Linked DNA regions of Caenorhabditis elegans. The protein of the gene in region 1 purifies or fractionates together with the protein of each later gene. This does not show direct contact. Each region holds a gene or a part of one and is shown in the gene's direction. Other genes may lie near its edges.

Region 1 (7,732 bases):
TTGATGGTGAAAAAAGAATCTCAAACTGTGAAAGAAGTTAAGGACAAAAATAAAGATAAAAAAAAAAGTAAAGTGAGTCCGAAAATTGACAAAAGTCGACAAATAAGACTCCAAAACATTGTTGTCCAAAATTTGAAAATCTAAGACCGATTTATTTCTTTTTTCAGAGCTTTTTTGGACGTAACAAACCAAAAGTCGAGGATGTTTCTCAACCGATTGTACCAGTCATCACTGGTGATCCATTGAATCCCGATTGGACATCTAATTCCACGAGTTCCATGTCTGCGTCGTTCCGGTCTTCGTCTACAGTAACCGCAGCAACATCATTCAAACATAGTCACACTTTTGCTGCGGATCCCATCAAGACTACGGACTGGGAAACTCCGAGAAAAGATACTTATGGATCTACAAATCAGCGACAGCCTCAAAACATTTATAAATTCGAACAAGAACACGTTGAACAAACTTATCAAATTGAGAAAATTGAAATGGACGATACACCGCCAGAGTTGCCAAGTAGAGGTGCTTCAAGAAATCCAGAAGATCAGATGACTAGAGGAGGTAGGTATATTGAATGTATTTAGTAAGGAAGGAAAGTTGATTTCTGTTTGGTACTGATTAAGAGATGGGCTTCAGTTTTCAAAAAAAAAAAGATAGGTGCCAGTGTTTGTAGAGCTTCTCAGTAGGCAGCCTCATTGCAACATCTGCTGAATAACTCTCAAATATGTTTTCAAGCTTTTACCAAACAGTTGCAATTTTGGAAAGTAAATTTTGATAAAAGAACTTGACTCAAGGGGGGTCAAAGATTGTCAGATGTTTCCAGGAGTGGTGTTTTTTTAACTTTTATTATTATTATTCGGACATTCTTCATATACTGTTTATTTCCAGGTCTCTCAACTCCTCGAATTCCAACTCATCGTGACTCCTATCGTTGGGCTACAAAACCAGACACTGTACCGAAGCAGACTCCTCCTCCAACTCCAAATGCACCTTCACATTCTCATCAAGTTGATCAGTTTGCTGAGTTCAAACTAGTGGAACCTAAAACACCAACACGAGTGGCTCCACCGCCCCCTCCTTCGGCTCCGCCTACTATTAAATTCCCTATTTCGACTGGACCATCGTACTCTTCGACAACTCCACCTACCACTCCAAAACCTGCTCCTCCTCCTCCATCACGTATTCCAAATCCTTCTCCTTCTCCGCAACCTGCCGAAGTTAGTAAATCTCCACCACCACCTCCACCACTTCCACCGATTGCAACGCCTTCTTCTGTACCTCCACCTCCACCTCCACCTCCACCTCCACCACCGGCTCTAGAACAAGAAATCTCTGGGCCACCAACAGTTAGATTAACTGCTGTTCCAGAATCTAATTCTGATCGAAGAAGTCTAATGGATGTAAGTTTCGACTTAATCAATATTTTTCTATGAATCTTTTTCAGCAAATCCGTTCAACCGATCGTTCACAAGTCTTGCGTAAAGTCAGTGATACACCTGAAACGAGGCAATCTGTCCCATCAACGACGTCTGGAACAATTGTCGATCAGATTCAGAACTTCCTCGATGCAAGAAGATCCGGAATAAATCCAAGTGATTCCGAAGAATCTGACGACGACGATGACGAATGGAGTGATTAGGATTTTTAATTGTAAACTAGACGGAACATTAGACTTTTGCAATAAAATCCGTTTATTCTCAGTAATATTATTCACAAGTGAAATTGAATTTATATTTAACATGATTATTAGTAGAAGCGAAGAAATACTGAAAACTCAAATATTAATATTGTAGAAAACAACTTCCGAGAGATGAATATCAATTGACTTCAATTCAAGTGAACGGAACACTACCAACCCTTTTATATGCACAATTGACGCATCGCGAACCTTTTCCTGAAATTTTTAAAATTTGAACTATGCTTTCCAAATTGGCTAGGATTCGTACCTGAATATTTTTTTTGAATCTAGTAACTTTCTCTTCCTCTTCTACGATATTGCTTTCAGAATCCCAATCTTCACAAATGTCCAGCTCCGTTTTCTGAGATTTTGATTATATTTTAAGAGTGGTCGAAAAATGAGAAACTCACAATCAATTCCAAAGGGATTGTAAGAAATACTCCATAAGTTTCAATAGAAATACGAATCCGAAATGCAGCGTGGAAACTTTCCATTGCTTCTGAAAATGAATATGGTTCGATTCTTTACATTGTTGACTCCATAAAAGGCTAACCTTGACAGAACCGACAATTTGTTGGGATATTGTTTTGTGCATACTCAACGTGATTGTATTCGACATGACAAGTTGTACAGTTCAATACATATTGCACAAATTGTTCCGAATTCTCATCGTTGAACCAAGAATCATCAATTTCTAGTAAACTGAAATTATATATAAGATGGTCAAAAAATAATCAATATGGGAAATTTTTCGATAATTTTCTTTCTTTTTAAAACTTCATTATTTTCCGTACAAATTCAATAACCGTTTCATATTTATCACCTAGGAATTGACTAATTTTCTGACTTTTGAGTTTCAACAATGTCTCCAGGCCGGTGATAGAACAATTCTCGAGCATTTCTTGAAAGATGTTCCTTTCTTGAAAGTGCAATTTTGTTGAAAAGGCTCTTGATAAATGTATCAGCAAACATCGCTTCTCGGCGCTCAATCTATAACAATATAATTAGCATTTTCAACAAACAGTTGAGCTTACTAATTTGTTTGCCATAGTATCAACTGATGTTTTCCGACCTGACTTTCTTCTTGATTTTCCTAGTTTGCGGAGCGTCTGGAGCTGAAAGTTGTGAAAATTCAATAACACATTAAACTTTTTTCAATTATCTTAACTGACCCTTTCACTGTCTTCATCGCTTTTAGTCCATGATCTTGAGCTGATAATAACAGGATTATCCACTTTTCCGGATTGAGACCAAGCTATAAGATGACAACCTGGAATACTTAAGAAATTGTAATTGTGTCACATAATAAGTTTTACCAAATAATCCGATTTGAGCAATTCCTTCTTTTGAATTGAGAATTGACTGAATTTTGCACCGATGAACTCGTACCACTTGGCGTAGCTGAAATTCAAGCTCCTGGTCTTCTTTTGGTATTACTCGTAAATAGATAGATTGCGTTTCATCCTAAAAATCATATGACAATAATTGATAGAATCGATAAATCACTCACTTTGATAAGAACAACAATTTGGTTGATTTTTTTCTTGATGAAAATTATTTTCCCGTAGAAGTTTTGTGGAGTCGGACCCGGTACCAAATCCTGAATGTGCTGGTAAGTGTATTGCATTCTGAAAATCTGTAAAAATAATTTAAAAGGAATTGGTAAAACAAAAACACAGAGAAAACAAACTAAATTTAAGTTGGCGCTCTCGCTAAACAACACGCGATTCGTAATTTCGGAGCCTCGTTCGTTGCATATTTAATGTTTTCAACGATAAAAATTTCATAATTTTTCTTCAGTTACACGCTTTCTTCATCAATTTGGCAACGGTTTCAACCTAAAAATGGTAACTAAATTTATTAAACATAATTTTTTAGAATGTAAAGGTTTCAGAGCTTTGCTGGACTTTTAGATTTTGCTCGGAAGGATGTCGATCTGCCGCAAAATTCTCCAAACGAATTACTGAAAGATCTACATGCTAACTTTATCAATCAATACGAGAAAAACAAAAATAGCTATGTAAGTGGCAATGTTATATTAGATGTGGAAATAAATTAAATAATTATATTTCAGCATTATATAATGGCTGAACATCTGAGAGTGAGCGGAATTTATTGGTGTGTCAACGCGATGGATTTATCAAAGCAGGTGAGAGAATTTTTAGAATTATTCTGTGTACATAGATAATAAATTCTTTTTTCAGCTCGAGAGAATGTCGACTGAGGAAATCGTGAATTACGTACTTGGCTGTCGGAACACGGACGGAGGATATGGACCTGCTCCTGGTCATGATAGTCATCTTCTACACACACTGTGTGCTGTTCAAACTTTGATTATTTTCAATTCAATTGAGAAAGCAGATGCGGATACAATCAGCGAATATGTGAAAGGCTTGCAACAAGAAGACGGAAGCTTTTGTGGAGATTTATCTGGTAAGTTATATTTCTCTTGAAAAAAACCTTTTAGAAAAAAATTAATTTGAAGGAGAAGTTGATACACGATTCACTCTGTGCTCTCTCGCTACTTGTCATTTACTTGGTCGACTGTCCACATTGAATATCGATTCAGCTGTACGATTTCTCATGAGATGTTACAATACGGATGGTGGATTCGGAACACGCCCAGGATCTGAAAGTCATTCCGGACAGATATACTGTTGTGTTGGAGCTCTGGCGATTGCCGGACGACTTGATGAGATTGATAGAGATAGAACAGCCGAATGGCTTGCTTTCAGGCAATGTGATAGTGGAGGATTAAATGGTAAGACTATTAGATATTTATAAACATAAAATACTTTCAATTCAGGTCGGCCTGAGAAATTACCCGATGTATGTTATTCCTGGTGGGTTCTCGCTTCTCTCGCCATTCTCGGACGCCTCAATTTCATTGATTCTGATGCTATGAAAAAGTTCATATACGCTTGTCAAGATGATGAAACTGGAGGATTTGCAGACAGGCCCGGAGATTGTGTAAGTTTTCTTAATAATATTCAGAAATTTATATTTGTATTACAATCAAATAATGTATTGGCCACAACAAAGCAATTATTTGAGTGTTCCTTCAATAACAGCTAGTTGCATAAGCTGAGAGCGTTTGAGTTCCGAGTCAGTATGTTCCAAAAATTCTTGAAGCATTTTCTTGATAGATGACAGTTTCTCGGATGCAGCCTCTTCCGAATCGGAGCGGACTGAAATCATCACGTGAATCGGTTCTTTGAGATGCTCCCAGCCAACACGTTCACGAAGACGTTCTTCTTTGGCATCATCTTTTGTACATCCTGCAAAATAGAACAGATTATTGATTTCTCAAACTGCAAGATATACCTTTTCCGCGAATGAACAGCTTGCATCCGAGATCTTTTTCGAGTTGGCGAATTGTCATTCCACGTGGACCAATGAGGCGTCCGACTGGATTAGTATTGCTGAAAGGTCATATTTTGGAACGTCCATTCCAATACTATCAACTATACTTGGCAGTCTCGGGAGGAAAGAAAACTTTGTCAATTTTCTCAAACTTCCCCTCTTCCTTATTTTCATTCTCAGAACAACCATTTTTCAAACCTCCAATCAATGACAAAGTCATTGGGCTGAAAGTCTGGCGACGTTGCAGTCCAGGTGGTGGTGTCATCAACAACGGATCATCCTTCAGAAGATTTCTAAGCGAGGATAGATCCATTGATTCATCTTTTCCAGCATTAGCTCTTCCGAGGAAAGAGGGTGGCGGTGTTCCGCTTCCGAGACCATTCACGATCATTTCTGCGTCATAAACACGCTTGATTTCACGAACTAGAAGATTCTGAAAACATGACCCACATGTATACTAAGATCATATATAATCTCAAGCTTACATGAGCATTTCGAAATTTGACACTATCATTCGATTCGTATATGTTAGTCATTATCTGAAGCTCTTTCAACAGATCGTCTAAATAACTGAAAATAATAAAACATTGTCGGAACAGCTGAAAACGTTTATTTATATACCTGCCAGTTGAACAATTAGTTGATGACTCCGGGATGCTCATTTCGCGTTGCGTCGAGACGGAAGCGAATTTCACGAAGTGGTTAATAAACTATTCGGTGAGTACTAAACTATTGATCGATCAAAGTGAAATCTCAATTGAGGGCAGTAGGATAAATAAAAATGGATCACGTTTTCAATTTTCCAAAAAAAAATTTTTGAAGAAATAATTATTAAACGTGCCAATTTAACTTTTATATTTGATTTTTTTCAGGCGGATCCCTTCCACACGGTCTTTGGCATAGCTGCACTTTCTCTGTTTGGAGACGACACATTGGAGTCAGTGGACCCAATTTTCTGCATGACCAAGAGATGTCTCGGTGATAAGCAAGTGGAGATGTATTACTAATTTATTGTAATTATTTAAATTGATACTGATTAAAATAAATTATTATTTAATCTAAGACGTATCGAAAATATCCTGAAATTCAAAACGACCGGACAAACATTATACAATAAACCAATTTATTCTCTATTAACACCTATTCACAAGTAGTATTATCCTCCTCATCCTCCTCCATCATCTTCTCACATGCGAATTGTTCCAGCTGGCTGATCACTTTTTCAGTTTTTGACTTCAATACGGGATCTTTGACATGTTTGAGTCCATAAGTTAATGCAATGATGTAAGTGAACACATACTGTGGAAGAGTCTCGATTGCACACGGACGTTGGGAACGAATCGACATTGCAATTTCCTGAATTATCTTATTTGATTCATTCAAAAACAGTGAAAATACCTTAATATTAGGTGCATCCCCAGCCTGCAATTTTTCAATTGCCTGAACTCCAACTAGAAATGACCCGGCTCTTCCAGCACCGTAGTTGCTCACAATAGCACAAGTTGCGTCACTATCCTGAAAAAAATTAGTTTCAGTGAAATTTAATTAAGGATAACAACTTACAATATCAGAATCAAAGACACTTGCTGCAGTGGCAGCAATCCTTCCGTAGCTAACTGTCGGAATTTTACCATCTGGCCAAAAATCACAAATCTCGATCATTGCGAATGGAGCTTCTGCACAGTCTTTTGGCACAACTTCATAATACAATTGAGTATTCGGTTGTTCATCACTTTTCGACACAGTCTTCCGATTATTGACTCGAATTGTTTTAAATTCTTTGAAATCTTCTGGAAAGTATTCGCTCAGTGCAGCCTTGTCTAGCTCATCTTCTCCAATAAGTATGAAGAGTCTTTGAATTTTCTGTGCGGCAACCATCAACCAAAATGATTCAAGTGAATGTGGAGAGTCGGATAAAGGAAGTTGTGCAAGAATTGTAGACTTTGTGCTTATCTGAATTATATTCAAGTTAACATTCTACAAATAACACTGTCTTTCTCGCAGGGTCTTGCCACGATTTTGGTTAGTATAATGGAGTTGAGGGAGCCCCCCTCTTTCTCTCAATTGCTTACCGATGGAATGGATGTCACAGTTGCGTGATAAAAGAAGTCAGCTTCACCTCCTCCTTTAACTCGATTGGCATCATAAAGTTCCACGTTCTCCGACTGACAATAATCAATATTTTTCTTGAATGCCTGACACTTTTCCAAATCGACTTTCATTGTGTCAATTGGTTTGAAGTCCGCCTCGAGAAGTTTACGAATTTCCACCAGTTTTTCTAGTTGCTCCACCCACGTTTTGACACCTTTCTCAACGTTCTTTCGATTTCCAGAAAGTTCCATTTGACTTTCAGCACGACGGAGAGCTATCGTTGACGGGGTTTTTGATGGACCAGTTTCCTGAAAATATAGAATCTACGTAGAAGATTGAATTACTGATTCTGAGGGCGTTGCAAAATGGAATGTTACTTAGGCCCCTCTTCTAATATGGATTGCAAGAACAGTAAAATAATAGAATTACTTACCTCCTTCTTCTTTTCCAATTTCTTTGCATCTTTTGCCTTTTTAAATCCTTTCGCAGTTACCTCCATACGATTTGTGTCCGTTTTAGTCTTATTATCCGTGGAAGCTCCATGAGAATTTCCAGTTGTCACTTTTGATTTTGATGGAGAACGAGATTTTCTTTTGCTAA
Region 2 (7,573 bases), on another chromosome or scaffold:
CTTTCTTGTTTCCAAATTTTAAGACATTCCTTCCTTTCACTCTCGTTTTTTTGTATCCTTCAATTTCTGCCTGACTATGGGTGTAGCATTTTCTTGTCTTCATTGCTTTCAATCAAACTACCAAATTATGAAATATAATTCATTTTCAAAATGTCCATACTTTTTAAAAATTCAACCGAATTATAAATAAACTGGAAGATAGCCGGAGATCAGAATCTTGTTGGATCGAACTTCAATGAGAATCCACCGGGTTTCACTTGCTCTGGTCGCACCTCGAATTGTTTTAGGAGCTTGGCAGTTTCTGGATCCACATGAGAAATGCGATTTTCTTGTTGTTTCTGCTTCGCCGGCGGTGGAGCTTTATTCTGTTCGCTTTTAGCGGGAAACGTTGGAAACTCCTCCGGTGGCACTGGATAAGGTTCTTCACTGAAATTAGTTATTTGAGATTAAACAATTTTTAAGTGATAATGTTCAACTCACGTGAACCATTCGTGATCAAGAGCTTGTGTAGCGGAGAATCGATTCTTTGGGTCCAGAGTGAGTAGGCTGAAAAAAAAACAATTAAATATTGATATTCGCAAAAAAACCAATTAACTTACCCATTAAGTAACTTAAAACCAGTGTCATTGAGAAGTCTTCCAGCTAGGAACCTCTTTCTCAATTGATTATATGGATACTTCTCAAATGTCAATGCCTTCCAACCGTCGAGTTCAGTGACTCCAGGCCATATTGATTCCGTGGGAGTTCCCATTTCCATGAAAATTTTCTTAATTTGTTCAAGTTCACCGCGTCCCGGGAACAATGGTTTTAAGAGAATAAACTCTGCCATAATACATCCAACAGACCACATATCAACGGGAGTTGAATAGAGACGTGTACCAAGAAGCAATTCCGGTGATCGATACCAGAGAGTTACAACAATTGATGTAAACTTTTTCAGTGGATCTCCATATTCACGAGCAAGTCCAAAATCGGCAATTTTCAGAATTCCCTTGTGAGACATCAATAAATTGGATGTTTTGAGATCACGATGCAGAATCCAAAGTTTATGCATGTGTTCAATTCCAGATAGCAGTTGCTGCAGAAGTGTTTTCTGTTCACCTATCGAAAATCGTTTGTTTCGACGAGACATTGTGTCTAAAAGACTTTTCATGTCATGTTCAACAAACTCCATAGCCATGTAGATCTTATCCATATTACTTCCTAGTAGAATTTCTTTAACATTCACAATATTCGGGTGATTTCCAGCTTTTAGAAGCATATTGATTTCACGAAGAGCAGTGATTGGAAATCCTTCTTTCTCTTTCTCCATTTTCAGTCTTTTTAACGCGACAATCTCATCCGTTCGTTTATCTTTTCCACGATATACAACTCCAAATGTTCCTTCATCAACTCGATTCACACATTCATATTCATCAATATTTCTACATCCCATGAGACCGGGATAAAAAACAGGTAACTGGGCGATCAATGTTTTTTGTTTCATTGACGCACGTTTTTTCATTGCTTCTTTATGAAGTCTTTGTTCAGTTTCAGTCATTTCTTCCCATTCTCGATCTTCTGGTGTTTTTAAATATTTATCTTCATCGCTATCTGCATCATCATCCGAATGTAGAGCATCATCCAATACTTCTATGACATCGTCATCTATAATTGATTTAAATGAATAAAAGTATAACTTAATTGTTTCAATTTTGATACTGGGCAAATTTTTACCGTCTTCAGCTTTTCCAGGGCTCTTCGGTTTAGTATCGTCATGATCACTTTCTGGGTCGCTTTCGAATTTTGAGTATTTCTTGGGGCCAGCTGGTGAGTCTATAGTGAATTCGACAATTTCTTTCTCTTCCTTTTCTTCTAATATCTCAATTGGCGACATTTCTACATCTTCAATCACGAGAACATCGTCATCTTTCTTTTTGTAGTTCGGGTCGAGAACTGAAATTTTCAAAATTAAATCACTATAAAATGTATGTGGTTTAAAATACTTCTATCAAAGAGCTTTGCATCTGCTGGAACATCTGTATGTTTTGACTTTTTGTGTGGCGATTTGTCATTATCAGGAGAAGTTGTGCTGGATCTAAAAAATCAAACAAAAATTATTAATTTCTTTTCAGAAAGAAACGAACTTACTTTTTATGACGATCAATATGCCTTTTGTGTTTTTCTGAGTCTCTTTCAGACGAACGATCTCTGTTACTTCTGTTTGTGCGGTGCCCATCTGTTTCGTGTTTTCTATGATGGTGATGATGTCTATGTTCATGTACTTTCTGATCTCTTCCAGATCTTTCCTGTCGTCCTAAAAGTATTAATAAGTACCTCTTATTCTATTTGCTGATTACCTTTGAAATCACGATCTTTTTGTCGAGCATCTGGTCCACGCACGTCTCTTCTGTCATCTCGTTTGTCCTTTTCCCGTTTTTTATCTCTTTCTTTATCTCGATATCGGTCCTCTTTTGCCTTTTGCTGTGAATTAATAATTTTAAAACAGTAATACACAAAAATTAACATACAGCGTTTTTAGGCTGTATTGAAAACCGTTGTTCTGTGGTATCATCATCGCTTTCACTGTTCTTCCGCTTGCTCAGACGACTTAATATGCTTTCACGCATTTTTGATTCCAAACCTGAAATTTATAATTAGTAGTTTCAAATTTAATCACTTTATATACCTTTGTTCGACTTGGCTGGATTTGGCTCATCGGAACTCGACGCTCTTTGACCTAGAAATAATAAGTTACACTCAAAACTTGTGAAACCTACTTACTTTTCTTGTGACTTTCATCTGACAGCTCACCTTCGTCATGAGAACTTCCCAAGTGGTCGCTCATAATGATTTTATCTTGAAAACGAAATAATTCTGAATATAAATTTAACAATTTTGATCAAGAAAACATTTTCGAATAGGAGTACGGTGGACAAGTACGCAAACACCGATTACACCTCGTGCGCGCATTCTTACGACACTTGTTTTTTTTATCGTTTTTAAAAACAGCGACGACTTCTTAAATAATCTTTTATCTATAAGTTTCATGTGTTCCCTCTTTTTTATTTATATAAATTCACTGTTACATTGGTTTCTTCGTTAAATATTAGTAGATTTCCAGAAAATGGCTCTTCCCGGAGAACGATTCCACGTTCTTGCTCAATTGGAGCATCTTCAATCGAAATACACCGGTACGGCCATGCGACATGAACCGTCACGAATGGATTGTGAATCAGGTTTGTTTCTCTCTTTTTCTCATAAATTTCTTTAAAACGGTAAACGGCTACTGCCAAAATCTATAGAAAGTTTGAATAAACAAATAATATTCCAGCACCGCGACACTCGCGCCTTTCAAATGTCTCATCCCGGAATGAACACGTATATTGCCGTTGTGGAGAACGAGAGCCGAGCTCGAACCCGCTTCAATCTGATAAATCGCATGATTCAGCCGTGTGGACCGCCTCCAGAGAAGAATCCTCTTGATGACGCCTAACTATCTGAATAACTTATTTTATATTTTTTATGAAGTAATTTGATCTCCATTCAATGTGTTTGAGAATATTTAACCTTGAGTAGAAATTTGGAAAAAATGTTGGTTACTCTATGATACTTCATGGTAGCTCGTGTTAGTGATAATTTATTTTAGAAAAGATAACAATTCAGAGACAGTGTTGATGTTAAGAGCGCTTGCACCAATAACTGTTATCCGAATGTAAGTTTATTCAATTATGAAAATTGTAAAGCAAAACAAATCAGGACTTCAACGTACAAAAATCGTCTTGGACAGGAAAAGAGTCCTTACCTCCTCCAGCATGCAAACAATCCCATCGATTGGTATCCGTGGGGACAAGAAGCATTCCAGAAGGCTAAAGATAATAACAAACCTATCTTCCTGTCAGGTAGATAATCAAAATATATTATCAAACAAACTTTAATATTTCAGTTGGATATTCAACTTGTCACTGGTGTCATGTGATGGAAAAAGAATCATTTGAAAATGAGGCAACAGCAAAAATCCTGAACGACAACTTCGTGGCTATCAAAGTTGACAGAGAAGAACGACCAGACGTTGATAAACTCTATATGGCTTTTGTCGTGGTATGAAACAAAATTAAAATTGTTTTAATCAATATCTCCATCTCAGGCTTCAAGTGGACACGGTGGATGGCCAATGTCAGTTTTCCTAACACCGGATCTTCATCCAATCACTGGCGGAACCTATTTTCCACCAGACGACAACCGTGGAATGCTCGGCTTTCCAACTATCCTCAACATGATTCATACTGAAGTAGGTGCCACAAAATCTTTTCATTTAAAAATTAGCCAAAGTTTTAAAATTTTTCAGTGGAAAAAAGAAGGAGAGAGTTTGAAACAACGCGGAGCCCAAATTATCAAACTTCTTCAACCTGAAACTGCTTCTGGGGATGTCAATAGATCCGAAGAAGTGTTCAAATCAATATATTCTCACAAACAATCATCTTTTGACAGCAGACTTGGAGGATTTGGCAGAGCTCCGAAATTTCCAAAAGCTTGTGATTTAGATTTTCTAATCACTTTTGCTGCAAGCGAGAATGAATCCGAAAAAGCCAAAGACAGTATCATGATGCTTCAAAAAACTTTGGAATCAATGGCTGATGGAGGAATCCATGATCATATTGGAAATGGATTTCATCGATATTCTGTCGGATCCGAATGGCATATTCCACATTTTGAGAAAATGTTGTATGATCAATCTCAGCTATTGGCTACATATTCAGATTTTCATAAATTGACAGAAAGAAAACATGATAATGTAAAGCATGTCATTAATGACATCTACCAATACATGCAAAAGATCAGTCATAAAGATGGTGGATTCTATGCTGCAGAAGATGCTGATTCCTTGCCAAATCATAATTCTTCGAATAAAGTTGAAGGAGCGTTTTGTGCTTGGGAGAAAGAAGAAATTAAACAATTATTGGGAGACAAGAAAATTGGATCAGCTTCACTTTTCGATGTAGTTGCTGATTATTTCGATGTTGAAGATAGTGGAAATGTTGCACGATCTTCGGATCCCCATGGTGAACTGAAGAATAAAAATGTCCTGAGAAAGTTGCTGACTGATGAGGAGTGTGCCACGAATCACGAAATATCTGTTGCGGAACTCAAGAAAGGAATCGATGAAGCAAAAGAAATTTTGTGGAATGCTCGAACACAAAGACCAAGCCCACATCTTGATTCAAAAATGGTTACTTCGTGGCAAGGACTAGCAATCACAGGACTTGTGAAAGCATATCAAGCTACTGAAGAAACAAAATATTTGGATCGAGCTGAAAAGTGTGCAGAATTCATCGGAAAATTTTTAGACGATAATGGAGAGCTTAGAAGATCTGTATATTTGGGTGCTAATGGAGAAGTTGAACAAGGCAATCAAGAAATAAGAGCATTTTCTGACGATTATGCGTTTTTGATTCAAGCTCTTTTGGATCTCTATACAACAGTTGGCAAAGATGAATATCTCAAGAAAGCCGTTGAGCTTCAGAAAATTTGTGATGTAAAGTTCTGGAACGGAAATGGATACTTCATCAGCGAGAAAACCGATGAAGATGTTTCTGTGAGAATGATTGAAGGTTACTATTTTAATTTTGATTAGTACACATAACACTTAAATTTCAGATCAAGATGGAGCAGAGCCCACAGCCACTTCAATCGCATCAAACAACCTTCTTAGGCTTTATGACATTCTTGAAAAGGAGGAATATCGTGAGAAGGCGAATCAGTGTTTCCGGGGAGCTTCAGAGCGACTGAATACGTAATATCGAACAACTTTTGCTTGAGCTCGCAACATTTTTAATTTTAGGGTCCCAATCGCCCTACCAAAAATGGCAGTCGCACTTCATCGATGGCAAATTGGATCTACCACATTTGTTCTCGTTGGTGATCCGAAATCTGAACTTTTGTCCGAAACTCGAAGCCGACTGAATCAAAAGTTCTTGAATAACCTGTCTGTTGTACATATTCAATCAGAAGAAGATTTGTCAGCATCGGGACCTTCTCATAAGGCAATGGCTGAAGGACCGAAACCTGCAGTGTACATGTGTAAAGGATTCGTTTGTGATAGACCAGTTAAAGCCATTCAGGAATTAGAAGAACTATTCAATAAATTCTGAATGTGTAGATTTTGTCTTATCCAGATACTGTAAATATGTCATTTTTTGTCAGTTGAATAAACGCTTAGTCATTTATCGAACATCAGTTTCAGCTTTGTGGCGACCACCACGTGTCTACTGATAAATTAACAGATTGTACTACTTTGCATGTAATGTGCTAGAGGACGGTTCTCTTATCATCACAGGCACTGACGACACTGCCAAAGTTTTACAAGCTAATTTATTAGCGCTCTTCGGCCGCAATGGCACGATTTGAATTGGTTTATTGATTCCAGAGACTAGTTTCAGTTTTTGATAAGAATGAATTATTATTCATTTTCTAGTTTATGAATATATATGTAACTAGGGAAGCCTATTTATGATTTTTCTAATTTTTTAAAATTGTTATTTTAGAGAGGTGTGAAATTAAAATGATATATATTTTCGAGTACTTTAAAAAATAAAAACGGTACATCCTATATTAAATTTTTGATTTTAGATCCTTCCAAGTTATTGACAAGTATTAACTGCACTTCTCATAAAAATTTTTCAAATAGATCTATTTAGTCTGGAATAGGAATACTTTTGGCAATTTTCTTGAGAATCATAGAAGACGAATTTCTGAACTGCTCTTTGTGAAGCCACGCCCATATATTGGCATTTTTGTATCCAATTTTTTGTAGAGTACCTGAATCATTATCACTACATCTGCTAAACAATATATGGAAGTTCTATGAGAGGTGAAAGGTAAATCATATAACAACTGTAATAACATAGAAATGATTGTAGTATATTTCCAATTAGGCTGAGTTGATCTTATTGAAGAGTTTGAATCATAGCAATTTTTTCCTCTTTTAGTATTTTTCAAAACAAATTTTCACAATGTTAGATGTAGTATTTAGCATTAAGGCATCTGTAATCTCCCAGAAATGTTTTGGGAATAAAACCCTTTGACTCTTTGGTCCTTTTTTGCTCCAAATAATATCTGATTTTAACCCGTTCTGATCTACTTTTTACCTTTCGATCGTCACATCCGCGTACACGTTTCTCTTGCTCTCAATTGCTTATCTTTATGGCCTTTTCCCCCACTTTTTGTCGACTATCATGCGGACGTGGCTTCCTTGCTCCCTCCCGGTTTTTTTGAAAACACTTGTGAATTTATTTTTTGTGGTCAAAATTACGAAACATTTGAATTCTCAATCTATTTATAGACCGGGTGTGGTATGTTATGCCATGTTTTTGTCATTGCCAAATGAACATCGATATTTTAATTTTCTGAACTTACCGTACCCCCTGCGTTACTATTTTATTTTTAATTTGTATAATTTCATTGCTATAATTTGTTGTCCTTGAAACATTGAAGATATCGAAGAAATAATGACAAAAATCAGATAGAACAATTTTTCCTACTCATCAACTCACATTTTTCTATTTTCTCTTGTGCGAAAAAAATAGTATATTGG

The links.
Region 2: the proteins of ggtb-1 (region 1) and B0495.5 fractionate together in Caenorhabditis elegans (co-fractionation; one large-scale study listed by BioGRID). This does not show direct contact.

What each region holds. Positions count from the first base shown.
Region 1 is NC_003281.10:7,130,361-7,138,092, forward strand, and holds ggtb-1 (putative geranylgeranyl transferase type-2 subunit beta), read left to right. Parts: upstream 1-3,405; 5' UTR 3,406-3,522; coding exon 3,523-3,525; intron 3,526-3,572; coding exon 3,573-3,698; intron 3,699-3,752; coding exon 3,753-3,827; intron 3,828-3,882; coding exon 3,883-4,111; intron 4,112-4,163; coding exon 4,164-4,439; intron 4,440-4,484; coding exon 4,485-4,648; coding exon of another isoform or gene 4,649-4,956; exon of another isoform or gene 4,957-5,002; coding exon of another isoform or gene 5,003-5,100; exon of another isoform or gene 5,101-5,148; coding exon of another isoform or gene 5,149-5,474; exon of another isoform or gene 5,475-5,526; coding exon of another isoform or gene 5,527-5,611; exon of another isoform or gene 5,612-5,662; coding exon of another isoform or gene 5,663-5,703; exon of another isoform or gene 5,704-5,913; coding exon 5,914-6,048; 3' UTR 6,049-6,165; downstream 6,166-7,732. Other genes in the region: viro-2 (WH1 domain-containing protein), read left to right, coding at 1-72, 168-561, 889-1,400, 1,445-1,639; pot-1 (Protection of telomeres homolog 1), read right to left, coding at 1,520-1,766, 1,857-1,894, 1,947-2,039, 2,089-2,177, 2,232-2,380, 2,526-2,668, 2,713-2,793, 2,851-2,948 and 2 more; B0280.17 (K Homology domain-containing protein), read right to left, coding at 4,724-4,956, 5,003-5,100, 5,149-5,474, 5,527-5,611, 5,663-5,703; Putative tyrosine-protein phosphatase B0280.11, read right to left, coding at 6,182-6,397, 6,440-6,556, 6,605-6,994, 7,114-7,440, 7,566-7,732. UniProt on the Caenorhabditis elegans protein: Catalyzes the transfer of a geranyl-geranyl moiety from geranyl-geranyl pyrophosphate to both cysteines in Rab proteins with an -XXCC, -XCXC and -CCXX C-terminal.
Region 2 is NC_003280.10:7,694,567-7,702,139, reverse strand, and holds B0495.5 (thioredoxin domain-containing protein), read left to right. Parts: upstream 1-3,645; 5' UTR 3,646-3,656; coding exon 3,657-3,694; intron 3,695-3,738; coding exon 3,739-3,881; intron 3,882-3,925; coding exon 3,926-4,080; intron 4,081-4,126; coding exon 4,127-4,270; intron 4,271-4,327; coding exon 4,328-5,591; intron 5,592-5,637; coding exon 5,638-5,773; intron 5,774-5,821; coding exon 5,822-6,131; 3' UTR 6,132-6,205; downstream 6,206-7,573. Other genes in the region: cdk-11.1 (Cyclin-dependent kinase 11.1), read right to left, coding at 210-426, 481-546, 600-1,647, 1,717-1,935, 1,986-2,077, 2,131-2,296, 2,340-2,463, 2,511-2,623 and 2 more; Protein moa-2, read left to right, coding at 3,107-3,218, 3,314-3,465.